3 linked regions of the Saccharomyces cerevisiae S288C genome follow. Changing the gene in region 2 together with the main gene of any one other region gives a genetic interaction. Each region holds a gene or a part of one and is shown on either strand. Other genes may lie near its edges.

The links. A genetic interaction does not mean that the proteins touch.
Region 1: mutations in SLA1 (region 2) and BBC1 are lethal when combined (synthetic lethality), as found in Saccharomyces cerevisiae (6 studies listed by BioGRID, with this or other methods).
Region 3: mutations in SLA1 (region 2) and ABP1 together harm fitness more than expected from each alone (negative genetic interaction), as found in Saccharomyces cerevisiae (6 studies listed by BioGRID, with this or other methods).

What each region holds. Positions count from the first base shown.
Region 1 is NC_001142.9:398,437-404,340, reverse strand, and holds BBC1 (Bbc1p), read left to right. Parts: upstream 1-1,930; coding exon 1,931-5,404; downstream 5,405-5,904. Other genes in the region: MPS3 (Mps3p), read right to left, coding at 1-1,444. UniProt on the Saccharomyces cerevisiae protein: Involved in the regulation of actin cytoskeleton.
Region 2 is NC_001134.8:212,132-221,605, forward strand, and holds SLA1 (cytoskeletal protein-binding protein SLA1), read right to left. Parts: upstream 4,236-9,474; coding exon 501-4,235; downstream 1-500. Other genes in the region: HIR1 (Hir1p), read left to right, coding at 1-44; LDB7 (Ldb7p), read right to left, coding at 4,456-4,998; drug-responsive transcription factor PDR3, read left to right, coding at 5,339-8,269; YBL005W-A (gag protein), read left to right, coding at 9,199-9,474. UniProt on the Saccharomyces cerevisiae protein: Component of the PAN1 actin cytoskeleton-regulatory complex required for the internalization of endosomes during actin-coupled endocytosis. The complex links the site of endocytosis to the cell membrane-associated actin cytoskeleton.
Region 3 is NC_001135.5:263,418-267,346, reverse strand, and holds ABP1 (Abp1p), read right to left. Parts: upstream 2,280-3,929; coding exon 501-2,279; downstream 1-500. Other genes in the region: YCR087C-A (uncharacterized protein), read left to right, coding at 2,880-3,341; CSM1 (Csm1p), read right to left, coding at 3,383-3,929. UniProt on the Saccharomyces cerevisiae protein: Regulates ARP2/3 complex-mediated actin assembly. Recruits ARP2/3 complex to sides of preexisting actin filaments, which may promote nucleation or stabilization of filament branches. Binds to actin filaments, but not actin monomers.

The DNA.
Region 1 (5,904 bases), on a different chromosome or scaffold from region 2:
CGTTCTCACATTGCCAGTAAGTTGAGGAGCTTTGTTTGGAGTCGGTCAGTAATTCTATCGGCTGTACCCCACTGCCCTGTCTCCAGGTTGGTGAAGTTAAATGGTTCAATAGTTTAGTACCTTGAACATAAGTAGCAAAATCTAAATCGTCCTCCCATTGGTGTTGATTGGAATTGTAAATTTGGTGAATTAATCTTTTCATTAATATGCTCGAATACTGCTGTGGCACGTTAGAATAATCCTGTTGAACCTGCTGCTGCTGCTGCTGCTGCTGTGTCTCTAACCTATTTGTGATCTCTTCCCAAATCTCCTGTTTGTTAGATTGCAACCTTCTGTTCATTTCTTGGATGAAATAATCCTTATCGATATATTGCAACTCATTCGAAAGAATTTCCTTTACATAGCGATTCAAATCATACTCCCAACGACTTTCAGCGCTTCCAGCAGTACCAATGCCTGGAGACTCAATAACGTCTGAAATCAAAGCACTCAAATAATTGTGCAATTCAGGGATTATTAAAAGCGACGAAGAATTATTAATTACAACGGGTATTTCTTGAGGGAGGTGTGTATCCAACTGTTTTACCAGTTGATCTTGCCATTGAGTAACATTCTCGACCGTAAATTTGTGATTTCGCCTCTGTAACTCACTCATGGAAGTTGAAATTGTCTCAACCTGTTTTGTCAGCGAGTTAATGTCATTTTCAAAATTAACCAAATTTGAGGGTAAAAGTCTTTTAATATTCTTTTCAAATTGAGAGACAATGATTTTTACTGTTTTATCCAATTCTGAACTGTGCTTTTCGTCCCGCTTACTCAACTCACTATATAAATGATTCACCTGTTTTTGTAGGTTGCTGAATGATTTGCCTGGAGAGGATGTAGCGCCGGATGAATGGCTTTCTAAATCATTATTTTTCACGGTTGTCATCAAAAAAGATCCAAAAAAATAAAAAACGAAGAAAAGGCCTCCATAGAAAATGTACGTCCGCCACTTCAACTTCTTAGCTTCACCTGAACTTTCCAAGTTCTCTTCAAAGTCAGAATTACTTTCCAAATCGTAGCTGTCGGAATCGCTGTCTTCTATAAAACTCTTGTCTGCCTCATCTGTATAGTCCTCGTCGCTATATCCGTCGGTCTCTTGTCCATTATCCTCAATGTACGGATCATCATCGTCGTCATCATTATGTTGGTCTAACGGAAAATCAAGATTTTTTTTGAACATTTCGTACGCGGAATCATTCTCTTTATCCATATCATAGTTGTCAGTTTCACCGCCATCGGTGTATATCCCTTTTTTGATGGCTCGTAGGCTAATCTCCTGTTCCCTATTCATTTTGTCCTTGAGGACATCTGCATACGCGGACTTTACAGCCTTATTGTAAGGCATTTGTTCATTAGCCGCTCCTGCCTCTTCCCGCCTATGCTCATTTGAGTTATTCATTTCCAGCACTTCCAGGATAAAAGTTACTACCAACTGAAAACAAGAGAAACCGCCGTGAAACTATGGAGCACTACAGTTAAAACACCACTAACTCCACTCTGTTGACTTTTATCTGTAACTCCTCATGACAACCTTGTTGATAATTATCTCAAGATGACGATATTTACATTGTCATTATATTCCATTTTCGCGTCTCATATGTTACCCGTATCAAAGAGTATAACCCTATCAATAAGTGATGTGTATCATTTATAAACCTCATATTTTAAGAATAAACCTATATAATATAGGAATATACCCTGAAAATAGTTAGAGGTCTACAATGCCCCTATTTTACCTCCAGAATTATAATCTCCTTAAGACTTCAACTAGAAGTGGTATTTACTAGCACACTGTGAAACAGTAGCGTCAAGTCGGTAGTAAACATCAATCGCGTCCCAACTGCAAGAGCTACTAGAAGTAAACACAGTCTTACCCAAACTAAGGATGAGTGAACCCGAAGTGCCCTTCAAGGTGGTGGCTCAGTTCCCATACAAGTCCGATTACGAGGACGATTTAAATTTTGAAAAAGATCAAGAGATTATTGTTACGTCTGTTGAAGACGCCGAATGGTACTTTGGTGAATACCAGGATTCAAATGGCGACGTTATTGAGGGTATCTTCCCGAAAAGTTTTGTTGCTGTTCAGGGATCTGAAGTTGGAAAGGAAGCCGAATCATCTCCGAATACCGGTTCCACTGAGCAACGTACAATCCAGCCGGAAGTAGAACAAAAGGACCTACCAGAGCCCATTTCCCCTGAAACGAAGAAAGAAACTCTGTCCGGGCCAGTGCCAGTTCCAGCCGCTACAGTGCCAGTTCCAGCCGCTACAGTGCCAGTTCCAGCCGCTACAGCAGTATCAGCACAGGTCCAGCATGATAGTAGTAGTGGTAATGGCGAAAGAAAAGTTCCCATGGATTCTCCAAAATTGAAGGCTCGCTTATCTATGTTTAATCAAGATATAACGGAGCAAGTTCCTTTACCAAAATCAACTCACTTGGATTTAGAAAACATACCTGTGAAAAAAACAATTGTGGCAGATGCTCCTAAATACTATGTCCCCCCTGGAATTCCAACAAATGATACGTCCAATCTTGAAAGGAAAAAGTCCCTAAAGGAAAACGAAAAAAAGATTGTTCCCGAACCAATTAATCGTGCACAGGTGGAAAGTGGAAGAATAGAAACTGAGAATGACCAATTAAAGAAGGATTTGCCCCAGATGAGCCTTAAAGAAAGAATTGCTCTTTTACAGGAGCAACAAAGATTACAGGCTGCAAGAGAAGAAGAACTCTTGAGAAAAAAGGCTAAGCTCGAACAAGAACATGAACGTAGTGCGGTTAACAAGAATGAGCCCTATACGGAAACTGAAGAAGCAGAAGAAAATGAAAAAACTGAACCGAAACCTGAATTTACGCCTGAAACTGAGCACAACGAGGAACCGCAAATGGAATTATTGGCACATAAAGAGATTACTAAAACCTCACGCGAAGCAGATGAAGGCACGAATGACATAGAGAAAGAACAATTTTTAGATGAGTACACAAAGGAAAATCAGAAAGTTGAGGAGTCACAAGCAGACGAGGCAAGAGGAGAAAATGTTGCTGAGGAAAGCGAAATAGGTTACGGCCATGAAGACAGAGAGGGAGATAATGATGAGGAAAAAGAAGAGGAAGATAGTGAAGAGAATCGTAGGGCCGCATTGAGAGAAAGAATGGCTAAACTATCTGGCGCTAGTAGATTCGGTGCTCCTGTTGGTTTTAACCCCTTCGGTATGGCTTCTGGAGTTGGAAATAAACCATCAGAAGAGCCGAAAAAGAAACAGCATAAGGAGAAGGAGGAGGAGGAACCTGAACAGCTCCAAGAACTACCTCGTGCCATACCTGTTATGCCATTTGTTGACCCAAGTTCTAACCCATTTTTTAGGAAATCAAATCTAAGTGAGAAGAATCAACCCACTGAAACAAAGACGCTAGATCCTCATGCAACCACAGAGCATGAACAGAAGCAAGAACATGGTACACACGCCTATCACAATTTAGCTGCTGTTGATAATGCACATCCCGAATACTCTGACCATGATTCTGATGAAGATACTGACGACCACGAGTTTGAGGATGCAAACGATGGGTTGAGAAAGCATTCGATGGTGGAGCAAGCTTTTCAGATAGGTAATAATGAGTCAGAGAATGTTAATTCCGGAGAAAAAATTTACCCTCAAGAACCACCAATCTCCCACCGTACTGCAGAAGTATCACATGATATTGAAAATTCATCACAAAACACAACTGGAAATGTTTTGCCTGTCTCTTCCCCACAAACAAGAGTTGCTCGCAACGGGTCGATAAATTCTTTGACTAAATCCATTTCAGGGGAAAATCGGCGGAAATCCATAAACGAGTATCATGATACAGTTTCCACTAATTCATCTGCATTAACAGAAACCGCTCAAGATATTTCGATGGCAGCTCCAGCAGCTCCAGTTCTAAGTAAGGTGTCACATCCTGAGGACAAGGTGCCACCTCACCCAGTGCCTTCTGCACCCTCTGCACCTCCAGTACCCTCTGCACCTTCAGTACCCTCTGCACCTCCAGTACCTCCAGCACCTCCAGCACTCTCTGCACCTTCAGTACCCCCAGTACCCCCAGTACCTCCAGTATCTTCAGCACCTCCAGCACTCTCAGCACCTTCAATACCTCCAGTACCTCCAACACCTCCAGCACCTCCAGCACCTCCAGCGCCTCTTGCGCTGCCTAAACACAATGAAGTAGAAGAACATGTCAAGTCATCTGCTCCCCTTCCACCTGTATCCGAGGAATATCATCCTATGCCAAATACTGCTCCGCCACTTCCACGTGCACCACCAGTACCACCGGCTACTTTTGAATTTGACTCTGAACCAACAGCCACTCATTCACATACAGCTCCTTCTCCTCCACCACATCAAAATGTCACGGCCTCTACACCTTCAATGATGAGTACGCAACAACGTGTGCCAACCTCAGTACTATCTGGGGCAGAAAAAGAATCACGAACCCTACCGCCCCATGTGCCTTCATTGACGAATCGTCCTGTGGATTCATTCCATGAGTCAGATACTACACCGAAGGTGGCCTCTATAAGAAGGTCAACGACGCATGATGTAGGCGAGATTTCCAACAACGTCAAGATAGAGTTTAATGCACAAGAAAGATGGTGGATTAATAAAAGCGCACCTCCTGCTATAAGCAATCTGAAGTTGAACTTTTTGATGGAGATCGATGATCATTTCATTTCCAAAAGATTACATCAAAAATGGGTGGTAAGGGATTTTTACTTCTTGTTTGAAAACTATTCGCAACTAAGATTCTCCTTGACCTTTAATAGTACAAGCCCAGAGAAAACGGTAACGACTCTTCAAGAACGCTTTCCATCGCCAGTCGAAACACAATCAGCACGTATTCTTGATGAATACGCTCAAAGGTTTAATGCGAAAGTTGTAGAGAAATCTCATTCATTGATAAATTCACATATTGGGGCTAAGAATTTCGTGTCACAAATTGTATCCGAATTCAAAGACGAAGTTATACAACCCATAGGAGCAAGAACGTTTGGCGCAACTATATTGAGTTATAAACCTGAAGAAGGAATCGAACAGTTGATGAAGAGCTTACAGAAGATTAAACCAGGTGACATTCTTGTAATTAGAAAGGCCAAATTTGAAGCTCATAAAAAGATCGGAAAAAACGAAATTATCAACGTTGGAATGGACTCCGCCGCTCCGTATTCGAGTGTTGTTACTGATTATGATTTTACAAAGAATAAGTTTAGAGTTATCGAAAATCACGAGGGAAAGATTATTCAAAACAGCTACAAGCTAAGCCATATGAAAAGTGGGAAGTTAAAGGTTTTCAGAATTGTTGCGAGAGGATACGTAGGTTGGTAATTTACCCAATGCTTCCAAGGGGAAATTGTGAATGCTTTCGATTTCATCATTTTCCTTTCGCATTTTCTTATCGTTATAGTTTAAGTGTATATTTTCATAACTCTTCTACAGAAGAAACTATACAAAGATTAAACAACCGTTTTTGTATCAGGTCTTATTTGAGCGGCTCAAAACGAAAGGTAGGATTCACTTATCTTACCGCCGTCAATAGTATCCCAAGTTGTACCTTTTCGTATATACCTACAATTCTGGCTTCAGACGCAGTAATTTTTGAGCAATCGTAACAAACGGTTTGCCCCTAGAGTTTGAATTTTTCTTCATCACTCCATGATAGTGCTCTCATATATTATCTTACGGAAATTAATCCAATATAGGTGCCCAAAGGTTGAAATTAATACGAACTTTGACCTGGCCTTAATTATCGATTCTAATACTATCTGAGTTTAAAGAACTTGCGGGGAAGAAATACGGAAAACATAGAAAGGCGATGGCAGATGAAG
Region 2 (9,474 bases):
ATAAATGGACTAAGGATCTGGGTTGTTGGTCGTTATATAAATAATAAGCTTATACCCCTTCCTTTGGACAAGTTTTTTCCCTCATAATTACGTCTATATTTTATAAATATCATTGTAGTATTCGCATTGTTTAAGTGGTTACCATTTGAAACGACTCATACAGACAAGCGGTTACAGATGAAGCTTTCTGAAGGCACAGATCAGAAGTATTTTAATGTCGGTTGTCTATTAGTGGAACCAAAGTGACTACACACCTCCTCTGTCTGGAAGAAATAAATTCTTAGGGTCGACTCCACCATTTCAACTTTAGTATAATATGACAATAAAACATTATTGGGACTGAGAACGATTATATTAAAATTAGTAAAATACATACATAACTACTTATAAAAAAAAAAAGAGAAATTTGCCATTTTCACGAGTATAAGCACAGATTGTACGAAACTATTTCATATAGCTTGTTTTAGTTATTATCCTATAAAATCTTAAAATACATTAATCTAGAATCCAAACGGATTTGATGCAGTAGCATTGAATATGTTGGCTTGCCTTGATTGTTGAGGTCCATTACCAAACCCAAATCCAGTAGGTTGGTTCTGTAATGCTTGTTGTTGTGGTTGTTGCATAGCACCCCCAGTGTTAAAAGTGTTCATCATCTGTGGTTGTTGCATAATTCCATCGGTGTTGAATGTGTTCATCATCTGTGGTTGTTGCATAGCACCACCAGTATTGAAAGTAGTCATCATTTGGAGCTCTTGCATAACACCACCAGTATTGAAGGTATTCATCGTTTGTGGTTGCTGTTGTTGAAGAACGCCCCCTGTACTTAAAGTATTCATGGCTCCACCAGTGAACTGGTTCTGGTTTAATGGCGCAATACCTCCGGTTTTTTGTAAAGTCAAACCGAATTGGGATTGCGGCCGGAACCCGCCAGTGTTTTGAGCTTGAGAGCTGAACGAAGTCTGGGGAATCATGGCGCCTCCAGTATTAAATGTATTCAAAGCACCACCAGTTCTCTGCAAAGGCATCATTGCTCCCCCTGTAACTTGTGGTAAAGCATTGAAGGACGTTTGAGGCATCATTGCTCCTCCAGTAATTTGTGGTACAGCATTGAAGGATGTTTGAGGCATCATGGCACTCCCTGTATTTTGAGGTTGGGTCATCATTGCACCACCTGTTAATTGCTGTGAAACGCCAAATGATGTTTGTGGAATCATAGTGCCGCCTGTTCTTTGTACAGTTGGCATTGAGACACCAGTATTAGCTGAAATTAATCCATTAGCAGTTTTTTGGACAGGTAATATTGAACCTGTTGGAAGTTGTTGTTGCCCCTGAACATTGAATGAAGTTTGCGGGAATTGCGCACCTCCTGTGGTGGCAATTGGTATTAGGCCACCTCCAGTTTTTTGCAGAGGTAAGACGGTAGCTGCTGCGCCGAACGTAGTTTGTGGCATCATTGCGCCGCCAGTGTTAGAGATAGGAATTAACCCATTTCCTGTCTTTTGAACAGGTAGGATACCACCAGTAACTTGCGATTGCATACCAAAAGTTGTTTGTGGTACAACGAAGCCGCCGGTTCTTTGCATAGGCAGCATATCGCCCCCAGTAATCATTGGCATCATCACAAAGCCAGTAGATAAGGGTAAGATATTGTTGCCACCGGTTTTGAATGGATCCAATGGAGCGGGAGCAGATGAAACCGGAGCAGATGAAACCGGAGCAGCAGGAACAGTGGTGCCGCCAGTTTTCACGGGTTCCAAATCTTTTAGGTTTGGTTCAGGTGTCGAGGCAGCTGCCTTTTTAGGTTCTAAAGGTTGCAAGTCTAATAAATCCTGCATGGAACCAGTAAATTCTGATTTCTTAGAGAGTAAATTAGATTCAGACTTAGAAGCCGGTTTAACAGTCCAAGCATCATCTGTCTCAGCTGATGTGGAAGGAGCTGTTTGAGCAGGACTTGTTGTTTGTGGCAACAATTGCTGAGGCAGTGAGGTTTCCGGACTTGTAGCAACGTTCAATGAACCATCAGGTTGTGAAAACATATTTCCAGTGGCATTTGTAGGAATTGATGCAATATTTTCTCTTCCAAATTTCTTGTCAAGATGTTTCATTACTCTAACAATATCACCTTCGCGCAGACCCAAGGTTCTTAACATTGAGTTATTGATGTCAGGCATCATGTCTTCAGTAAGCTGTTCTCTATCAAAATTTATTGTATATCTTTGACAATTGCTTACATCAACGCCGCAATTCAAGAAAAATTCGAACCAATCATATTTGTTACTGGAGTTGTTGTTATTGCTGCTTTCGGCTGGTGGTACGGACGTCGTATTTGGAACGGAGGTAGTAGAGGTTGGTCTTGGTGGTTTTATTGGAGGCAATTCCTTTTCTTGCAACCTTGATCTTTCTTCATCTAGGAGTTCTCTGGCTTTTTTCAATTCGTATAATTCACGCTCTTTCAATCTCCTATCGCGTTCTTTTTCCTCCTGCTCCTTCAATCTCCTTCTTCTTTCTCTTTCAGAGTCTCTTGAATCAGTGCCACGGGAACTAGACCCATCATTCGCCTTAAATTTCTCTAAGGAGAACCCAGTAATTTTTTCCACATACGCTAAATCTTCATTGGATAGTTTATCAGCGGCGACAGCAATCTTGACACCATTAGCCTTGTGCAAGTGGATTTTCCCCTTAGCACATCCAATGAATTCTGCATCCACTTTGAAAGTACCACTTCTATCAACCCATAGACGCGATTTTTTTGGATTGGGGAAATCTTTGGTCGCCGAAGAGTTTTTTTTGTGAGAGGACAATGAACTTTTTCTTGACCTTTTACCGGCAGCACTACCTACAACATCGTTTTGTAGTTCATCATCTTTCCAACTGGCATTGGCATTGGATTTAGATCTTGATCTAGATCTCGACCTAGATGGAGATTTGGTGAAGTTTTTCTTGATAGACTTGATGATACCGCTTGCTGTAGATTCAGTATGTTTTTTGTCACGAACAGGCTCAATAAACTGTGCAGGAACGAGACCGCTTTTCCCTGAATCAACCAGTTGGCACATCCACCAGTCCTTAGATTTTTTATCATCTAAAATGTAGACTTTATCGCCTGATTTTATGGTTAATTCGTCCTGTGATTCAGCCATGAAGTCATATTGAACAATACCTCTCTTTTTGGATTTGGAAGCCATTTCGACTTCTCTCAACCCAGGATCACGGGAAGCACCTTTATATTCACCAATAATGTTCATGATCTCTTCACATGTGGTGGTATTACCAGTGTGTAATTCAAGGCTTCTATATGGATCAACAAATTCCAAGAACATGTGTTTCTTTTCGTTATCATAAGAGACCAATTTATCAATTGACCACTCATGAGGAGTCCCCTTTTGGGGTATGAAGTTTATCTTGTTGTTACCGATTGATAGCTTGGCCTTCTTCTTTTTCCTTCCCTCGATTTCGGTAACGTTCCAAGAGTGATACTCTGTATTGTATTCGTGATTTCCAACGTTGTTGCTGTTGCTGTTGTAATAGTAATCATCCTCTTCATCGTCATTATCGTTATCGCTGTATGATAGTCTTGTACGAGATCGAACAGCCGCAGCGGTGGCATCAGTAGTTTCGGTAGTAGCCGTTGGTCTTGCAGGCATGGCAGGAGGAGGGCCCTCTTCATCCTCATCTGGAGCTTGGTCTTCTTTACTTTGCATCATACGAGCTCTATCATTGTGTTGAGGAGGTGGTAAAAAGTTGGTGGGTAGTACGGCAGCAGAAGCAGGAGCGGCTGCAGGAGTAGCTGCAGGAGCTTCAGCGGCAGCGGGAGCCTGTTCCTGCTTGGAAGTGGACCCATTCTCTGGTTCGACGTAATTGCCTGGAATGAAGCCGAATTCATTGGAAACGGTAGACTTAACCAACAGCCAATCAGCATCTTTATCATCGAATACATCAAAAACGTCATTTTCATGAAACGTCAATTCTTCATCAGCATTTTGCACCTGTTCATAATCATAAATGGCTCTTACCTTCTTCAAAACAGGAGCTTCTTCAATGTAAGTGGAGGGCACTAGACCCACCGGTTCTTCGCTATCGGAACCAATGACTCTTTTCTTTACTGTCCACCAATCGTCAATGTCTGACTTCTGTAAGAGGTACAACAGATCGTCTTCTTGGATGGCCAGTTCTTCTGGTGTCTGCGGCTCATAGGCATAGACGGCCCTATAGATGCCCAGAAACACAGTCATACTCTAGCTCTTTTGTATATAACACACTCTGTCGCCTTGGCTATGTTACACTATCCCTTCTTTTAGGATTGCAATAGATATACATAGTATATATGCGCTAAATATTCGTTCTGTTTTCGTCTGATGTATCTCGATTTCGCATGAGTGGAAGGAAGCCCCTTTTAGGAATCGTATAGTCACTTTCTACGAAGCAACATTCTACCTCTATCAATTACATGGTTTAATCTACGCAGGCATGTTCTCTAAGTTGAGACCGCCTATGGGAACCTATAAATCGTGATTGACACCGTTTGCATATTATCACTTTTCTTTTCCTTTTAGCCTCGCTATTCCTGGGGCTCTCTATGTGTGATTGGAAGGGTAGAGACAATTGTCCTGCGCCGGCAAGAAAAACATCGTGTGTCTCTAGAGCAGCTTTGCATTCTAATGTGCGGTGGAAATGGTGCGAAAAGTCGACACTTGACAGGGCTTCCAACTGCTGGCGTGGCACATAACTGCCCAGCAGTGAATGGCCTACTTCATACTCCACCTGTGCCGCATCGGCGAGCGACACTTTACCGCCTAGGTAACCATGTACAGCTACTCTTTTGGGCTTGGATACCTTCGCTTTACTATTCTCACTGCCCTCTATGCCCTTGTCGGTAGCATGAGATTGTTGCGTAAGCTGTTGAAGCTCAGTCGCACTGAACACTACCTGGGATGACTTTTCCAGCGCTGAAAGCCCTGCGAGTACGTCATAGTATCCCATATTACTTCCACTCATTCTCAGCTATTCCTTGTTAACACCGTGCTCTGCTGCTTTCAGGTAAAGCCATTATTTCCACGACAACTGCATTTCACTTTTCATTTTCTTCCAGAACAACAGGCGCTGCCCTTGTTTCCGCGGAGCTGCCTCCTCTGCCGCTCGGACTTTCCGCGGAATAATAAATGAACTATCACAGTGAGTCTTAGAATGCAAATATGTAGATACTGTTATAGAATCTCATTAATGTATTTATGTATTTCCTGTGTTTGTGTCTTCAGGAGCCTTCCAAAGCAACCATAGGTCTTAGGCGACAACTGCATCAGCAGTTTTATTAATTTTTTCTTATTGCGTGACCGCAATGAAAGTGAAGAAATCAACTAGATCAAAAGTTTCGACAGCATGTGTCAATTGCAGAAAAAGGAAAATCAAATGCACAGGTAAATATCCATGTACCAACTGCATTTCTTACGATTGTACGTGTGTATTCCTAAAAAAACATTTACCGCAGAAGGAGGATAGTTCCCAGTCTTTGCCTACTACAGCTGTTGCTCCACCCTCTTCCCACGCCAATGTAGAGGCTTCAGCAGATGTACAGCATCTGGACACTGCGATTAAGCTAGATAATCAATATTACTTCAAACTGATGAACGACCTGATACAGACTCCAGTCTCTCCGAGTGCGACGCATGCTCCTGATACTTCCAATAATCCTACTAATGATAATAATATTCTCTTTAAAGATGATTCCAAATATCAAAATCAACTGGTTACGTATCAAAATATTCTGACAAATTTGTACGCTCTGCCGCCTTGTGATGACACTCAGCTCTTGATTGATAAAACGAAGTCGCAGTTGAATAACCTGATTAACAGTTGGAATCCCGAAATAAACTACCCCAAGCTTTCCAGTTTCTCTCCTCGCCCACAAAGATCGATAGAAACGTATCTTTTAACCAACAAGTATAGAAATAAAATACACATGACGAGGTTCTCCTTTTGGACAGACCAAATGGTTAAATCACAAAGTCCAGATTCATTTCTAGCCACCACTCCACTAGTAGATGAAGTATTTGGTCTTTTCTCTCCAATACAGGCTTTTTCACTAAGAGGTATAGGATATTTAATTAAAAAAAATATCGAAAACACGGGTTCATCGATGTTAATAGATACAAAGGAAACTATTTATCTAATATTAAGATTGTTTGATTTGTGTTATGAACATTTGATCCAAGGTTGCATCTCTATTTCTAATCCATTAGAGAACTATCTTCAAAAAATAAAGCAAACTCCTACTACGACGGCATCTGCTAGTTTGCCTACTTCCCCAGCACCTTTATCTAACGATTTAGTCATTTCTGTTATTCATCAACTACCTCAGCCATTTATACAATCGATTACCGGGTTTACGACTACTCAATTGATAGAAAATTTACATGATTCATTTTCGATGTTTCGAATAGTTACTCAAATGTATGCTCAACATAGGAAGCGCTTTGCGGAATTTTTAAACCAAGCTTTCTCCTTGCCCCATCAAGAAAAGAGTGTTTTATTCTCGTCATTCTGCTCATCAGAATATCTTCTATCTACTCTTTGTTACGCATACTACAATGTTACCCTATATCACATGTTGGACATAAACACTTTAGATTACCTAGAGATTTTAGTGTCATTGCTAGAAATCCAAAATGAAATTGATGAGCGTTTTGGATTTGAAAAAATGCTAGAAGTTGCGGTTACATGCTCCACTAAGATGGGATTGTCTCGTTGGGAGTATTATGTTGGAATAGACGAAAATACTGCCGAACGGAGAAGAAAAATATGGTGGAAAATATACAGTCTGGAAAAGCGTTTTTTAACTGATCTTGGTGATTTATCCTTAATAAATGAACATCAAATGAATTGTCTCTTGCCGAAGGATTTCAGGGACATGGGATTCATTAACCATAAAGAATTTTTAACGAAAATTGGTACGTCCTCTTTATCACCGTCATCGCCCAAGCTAAAAAACTTGTCATTGTCCAGGCTTATTGAATATGGTGAGTTAGCGATAGCCCAAATTGTTGGAGATTTTTTTTCAGAGACTCTTTATAATGAGAAATTCACGTCTTTAGAAGTATCCGTTAAACCCACAATTATCAGACAAAAGTTATTGGAGAAAGTTTTTGAGGACATTGAATCTTTTAGGTTAAAATTGGCCAAAATAAAGCTTCACACCTCAAGAGTTTTTCAAGTAGCTCACTGCAAATATCCAGAATATCCAAAAAACGATCTAATTGAAGCAGCTAAATTTGTAAGTTACCATAAAAATACATGGTTCTCCATCTTGGGTGCTGTTAACAATCTTATTGCTAGGCTATCTGAAGATCCAGAGGTGATAACTGAGCAAAGCATGAAATATGCGAATGAAATGTTTCAAGAATGGAGGGAAATTAATCAATTCTTAATACAGGTTGATACTGATTTTATTGTTTGGGCATGTTTGGACTTTTATGAACTGATATTTTTCGTGATGGCTTCAAAATTTTATGTGGAAGACCCGCACATCACTTTAGAGGATGTTATCAACACTTTGAAAGTTTTTAAGAGAATAACTAACATTATTTCTTTTTTTAATAATAATTTGGACGAGAAGGATTATGATTGTCAAACTTTCAGGGAGTTTTCGAGAAGTTCGAGTTTGGTTGCCATATCCATAAGAATCATATTTTTAAAATACTGCTATGCCGAACAAATTGATAGAGCCGAATTCATCGAACGTTTGAAAGAAGTTGAACCGGGTCTAAGTGACCTTTTGCGTGAGTTTTTTGATACCCGCTCTTTTATTTACAGGTACATGTTGAAATCCGTTGAAAAATCAGGCTTTCATTTAATAATTAGAAAAATGTTAGAAAGCGACTATAAATTTTTGTATAGAGACAAATTGGCCACTGGTAATATTCCAGACCAAGGAAATTCAAGCCAAATTTCTCAGTTGTATGACAGTACTGCTCCTTCATACAACAATGCTTCTGCCTCAGCAGCAAACTCACCGTTGAAGTTATCGTCTTTGTTGAACTCTGGAGAGGAATCGTACACTCAAGACGCATCAGAAAATGTTCCATGTAATCTGCGGCATCAAGATCGATCGTTACAACAGACAAAAAGACAACATTCTGCGCCTAGCCAAATAAGCGCTAATGAGAATAATATATACAACTTGGGTACTTTAGAGGAGTTTGTCAGCAGTGGTGACCTGACTGATTTATATCATACTCTGTGGAATGACAATACTTCATATCCCTTCTTATGAAAACGCAAAGAAAATAGGGAAGCAGAGCATAACCATAGTAAATGGGACACTTATAACTCAAGAATTTAATTGACCCCCTACTCATACTGAGGAATGTGGCGTCCTCGTCATTATATGTTCGTAAGCTAATTGGGCGAAACTTTAGTCTGTCCTTTCTGTTCGGTCTTCACATAAGATCAACGATTTCTTCATTAATTTTGGGCGCGCTGTTCAAAAAGGTCCTGGAATGCAGCTGTTCAGTAGATATTATATGTAATTATAGCCTCAACAATTTTTCTTGGATCGATTGGATGAGCTATTCACCCATAGAGGCTGGATTTTCCTTAGTTTGAGAATCTGCGACTCCTTCGCGTCTGACATCGGTCACTACGCTTTCTCTATTCTGCTGCCGTTGCGTTACTTTGATAAATTCATTTCTTTTTTTTTGTAATACAGAAGAATTTCTGGTAAGTTTTTGGCCTGTGCGTGTTCATAAGGGAAAGACATTGCGCATATAGGAAAATGTTAGAAGTTCAACATCGATAAAATGATATTGTGTAGAAACACCGATTCCCTTTTGTAGATTTCTATATCTTTGGGTATGACTTCTAGTATTATCTGTATATCTAATATTATAGTCTCTAACAACAGTGGAATTGTTGGAATAAAAATCCACTATCGTCTATCAACTAATAGTTATATTATCAATATATTATCATATACGGTGTTAAGATGATGACATAAGTTATGAGAAGCTGTCATCGAAGTTAGAGGAAGCTGAAGTGCAAGGATTGATAATGTAATAGGATAATGAAACATATAAAACGGAATGAGGAATAATCGTAATATTAGTATGTAGAAATATAGATTCCATTTTGAGGATTCCTATATCCTTGAGGAGAACTTCTAGTGTATATTCTGTATACCTAATATTATAGCCTTTATCAACAATGGAATCCCAACAATTATCTCAACATTCCCCGATTTTTCATGGTAGCGCCTGTGCTTCGGTTACTTCTAAAGAAGTCCAAACAACTCAAGATCCGTTAGACATTTCAGCTTCCAAAACAGAAGAATGTGAGAAGGTTTCCACTCAGGCTAATTCTCAACAGCCAACAACACCTCCCTCATCTGCTGTTCCAGAGAACCATCATCATGCCTCTCCTCAAGCTGCTCAAGTACCATTGCCACAAAATGGGCCGTACCCACAGCAGCGCATGATGAAT
Region 3 (3,929 bases), on a different chromosome or scaffold from region 2:
CTTCCATTGTACTGAATTTAATTCAGCTTTATATATCTACTGGGAGACTCTTCATGCATTTCTTAATCTTAACGTTCCATTGTAGCTTAAAACTGGTCTCTAACAAATCTATACATAGACTAGAAGTAAATCCGAAATAGTGAGCATAAGGAAAGCACCATGTACCATACACTTCTGGTAAACACCTGATGCGATTCTAAAACAGCATTATGGTTGTAGTAAGTATCAGATCTGTATGCGATGCAGGAGTGCAATAAGTTTGTTTCAGTGTTGTTTTATGTTCGAGGTTTTGACAACGCCGTACGGGCACACCGTCTGTTGAAAAATAATACTGTAGAGGAGTCATATAAACGCTTGAAACAAAGAAGGACAAGGCAAAATAATTTGTTCATTTTACTGAAAGGGAAGGCTCGTGAAAGTATCTATACAAAAGCTTTAACGTCTCTGTAAGTATTTTTTTACGTAAGAATAATATAATAGCATGACGCTGACGTGTGATTCTAGTTGCCCAAAGACACATAATTGCTGGGGAAGAGACCTTTTGAGCCGTCTTTCTCTAGTTCCCCTAGCCACCAGTCATCGTCGACAAATTCAATATTGATAATCTTGTCATTTTCCACAAAGGTCAGTTCGTTATCTTCTGCAGCATCGTAATCATATTCTGCTGTGGCCCAAGGATTTTCCTTTGGCTTTTTCTCTGGAGTTGCTCGTCTTGGAGGCGGAGGAGGAGCTGCAGAGCTTCTTGATGGCAGCTGTGGAGCGGCTTCCTCAGCTTCTTCTTCAATTTCTTCTTCAGGTGCTTGTTCAGGTGCTTCTTCTTGTTTTGGAGCTGGGATCGAGTTTCTAGAAGGTAAGCTTGGGGCGATCTCTTCTTGTTCAGGCTCTTCTTTTTGCACTGGTGCTCCTGACGCAACATTCCTCGAAGGCAAAGGAGGTTGAGCAGCCTCGTCTTCATCATCATCCCAGTCATCATCATTCTCTTCTGGTTCTTCCTCATTATCCGCTTCAATGTGCATACCGGGTAATGGGTTGCCGATCTTCTTGTAATCAGTCTTAGGCTGCTCGGCTTCTTCAGCTTTCACAGGTTCTTGTGGCTTGGAGAAGGGTTTTGGTGAGATAATAGTTGGTTCTGATTTCTTTGGAGGAGGAGCAAATTTGTTTTCCATTTCTTCCTCCTCTTTTTCTGAAGCGGCCAATCCTTCAAATTTTGATTTCAAATCTTTGACGTCAGGTTCACCTTCAGGCTCATCTTCTGGAACTTCAGGTTTTGGTGCCTCAGCCTTAGTTTCGGCGTTGCCGCTGTTTTGCTTTGCCTTTCTTTCGGCCCATAATTGAGCAGGTGATTTCTCGTTTCTAAAACCCTTAATGACTTTATCATCATCATTCTTTAATGAAGATTCCGTCATGGAGGGGGGTTTAGTGGTGCCCAAAAAGGAGTTAAACTCGGAGTCCCTCTTTAATTTTGATTCGTTCTTTAAATTAGCGATATCAGAACTAGGATCAATCTTGGAACCAGCAGCGGTTGGCTTTTGAACAAGACGTGGGTCCTCCTTAGCCTTTTCTTCAGCAATCACTTTTTGCAAGTCGATTTTGCCAATTGGTTTGTAAGATGATTGATTTGGTTTCAGGGGAGCCTGATCGAAGTCGCGTTCCTTTAATTCAGGCTCATTCCAATCGTCGTCGTCATTGTTGTCGTTAACACGGGAAGAAATCTTAGCAGCAGGTGCTGGGGAAGGAGTCTTGACTGGTTCCTTCTTAGAAACTGGAGCAGGGCTCTTGGAAGGTGTGAAGGATTTCTTCACGGGAGGAGTGGAAGCCTTCCCCTGTTGCTTGGAGGAAGTCTGAATAGAATAACGGGCACCGGCCGCGTTACTGATTTTCATCAACAGTTCATTTTCGTCAAGATCGTCCTCGTCTCTGGCGGTAACTTGAACGTGGTAACCCTTGAACAGATTATTAGCAACTGCAGCAAAATTGGCGGCGAAAGAGGCCCTTGTCTTCAATGGCGCAGAATCAGGACACCAACCAATGATAATAATCTTCTCAACGTCTGACCCTGGTGGGGACACACGTGCCAGTCCGTACTGGACCTTGGTTTCATCAAACAATTGCAAGAAATCGTGAAAGGAGGAACCGGTAGACTCAGGTTCGTATTCTTTTTTCGCATTGGGTGAAATAATCAACCAGGTGGTGTCAGGATCGGAGCCTCTGACAATCTTCAGGTACTCTGCGTCGATCTCTCTCGAGTGAGTAGTATAATCAATAGGTTCCAAAGCCATTGTGATTGATAGGTGTGTGCGTGTATATACGTGCGGTTATGCGATTGTTTGTTTATAGATTGAACTATCCAATATGGTATACTCCTATTATATCCTTTTTTTCTACTTTAATCGAGGTTTTCCGCATTGTGAAAAAACAAGTGGAAATAAGAGACACAAGGCCACGTGACGCACATTTATACAGAAATACATCAATGGTTGCATAGTAAAGCGAAAACAAGAGTTCCTCGAGGGCGTATGATGCTTGAAAACGATTAAAATCCTATGGAAAAGGAATGCCTTTTCCCTCCATTGCTGACGGGATATTGTGAACTATTGACTGTCTCATTTAACTTCCTAAAATAAGTGCTCTCATGGACAGAGATATCAAAGTAACGTCTAAATATTAGCTTTGTGACTACTACATTGATGCAGATGAGTGGACTAGCAGCATCTCATAATAAATAAATCAAAAATAAAGGTTCATTCTCTTTTGGTTGCTTTTTGCCTTGACGGGAAAAAGTGAAAAAAAATTGAAAATTTTTAACTTGCGATGAGCTCTAAGAGTATTCTGTATACAACAGCAAACGGTCTCAGTCAAGAAATATTTGTTATTACAGGATGGTTACGTTCAACTGTGAGGTGTGTAATGATACTGTGCCCAAGAAGAATACCGAAAAGCATTATTATAGATGTCCTAACGCGTACTATACATGCATAGATTGCTCCAAGACGTTTGAAGATGGCGTGAGTTACAAGAATCACACGTCTTGCATCAGCGAGGACGAGAAGTACCAGAAAGCGTTGTACAAGGGCAACAAGAAGCAGAAGCAGAAGCAGCAGCAGAAGCAGCAGCAGAAGCAGCACCAGCACCAGCCAGTGGCAACTCCTGCAAAGAAAGTGGAGAAGCCTGTGATCAAGAAGGCAGAGAAAGTGGAAAAGACCTCGAACGGTATCGAGCTTCACAAGGGCAAGTCGTTGTACAAAATTTTGAAAACCATGAAGGATAAAGGGGCAAAAAAGACCTTCTTGAAAAGTCTGGTTGTGGATTCTGAGGGGCAAATCAGGTATGCAAAGGAATAATCGGAATTTTATGTGTAGATATATAGACATTATGTAGCAGCTTACTCGGTTTCATCTTTTTTCTCTCTTTTCTTATTCAGGCTTTTAGCGATTTTGTTATAGAATTGGTTTAGCGACGAGAGGGGGAAACTCAACGTTTCGAAGAGGTATTCCGGTAGTTTCGACTGTAGCGAGTATAGTTCCTCGGTGGATCGCTGTTTAAGAACGGGCGCATATATGACTTCTGTGACTTGGGCCTGGCCCTTGACAAATCCGAGTTTATAGTCCATTATCGAATAATCATCGGAAGATCCCCCTGAGTGGGTGCCCTGCGAGATGTCGAACCACAACCCAGAATCATCCTCGTAGCTTTTATGTACACGTACGTTACAGAGGTACTCGTAAAGGTCCTTTATGACTTCTGAATTTTCTGCCTGTTGGGAAGTCTGAGTCTTCAGCTCCTTGACTTGTGCGTTTAGCGAGTCTATCTGCTTCTGCAGCTGTTTGATCTCGGTTGCTTTTGTATCCAGCTTCTCCGACAGTACGAAATTCTCATTTACCAAATTTGCCACTAGTAAGTCTGCGGAATCGATCTGTTGTTTCACTGAG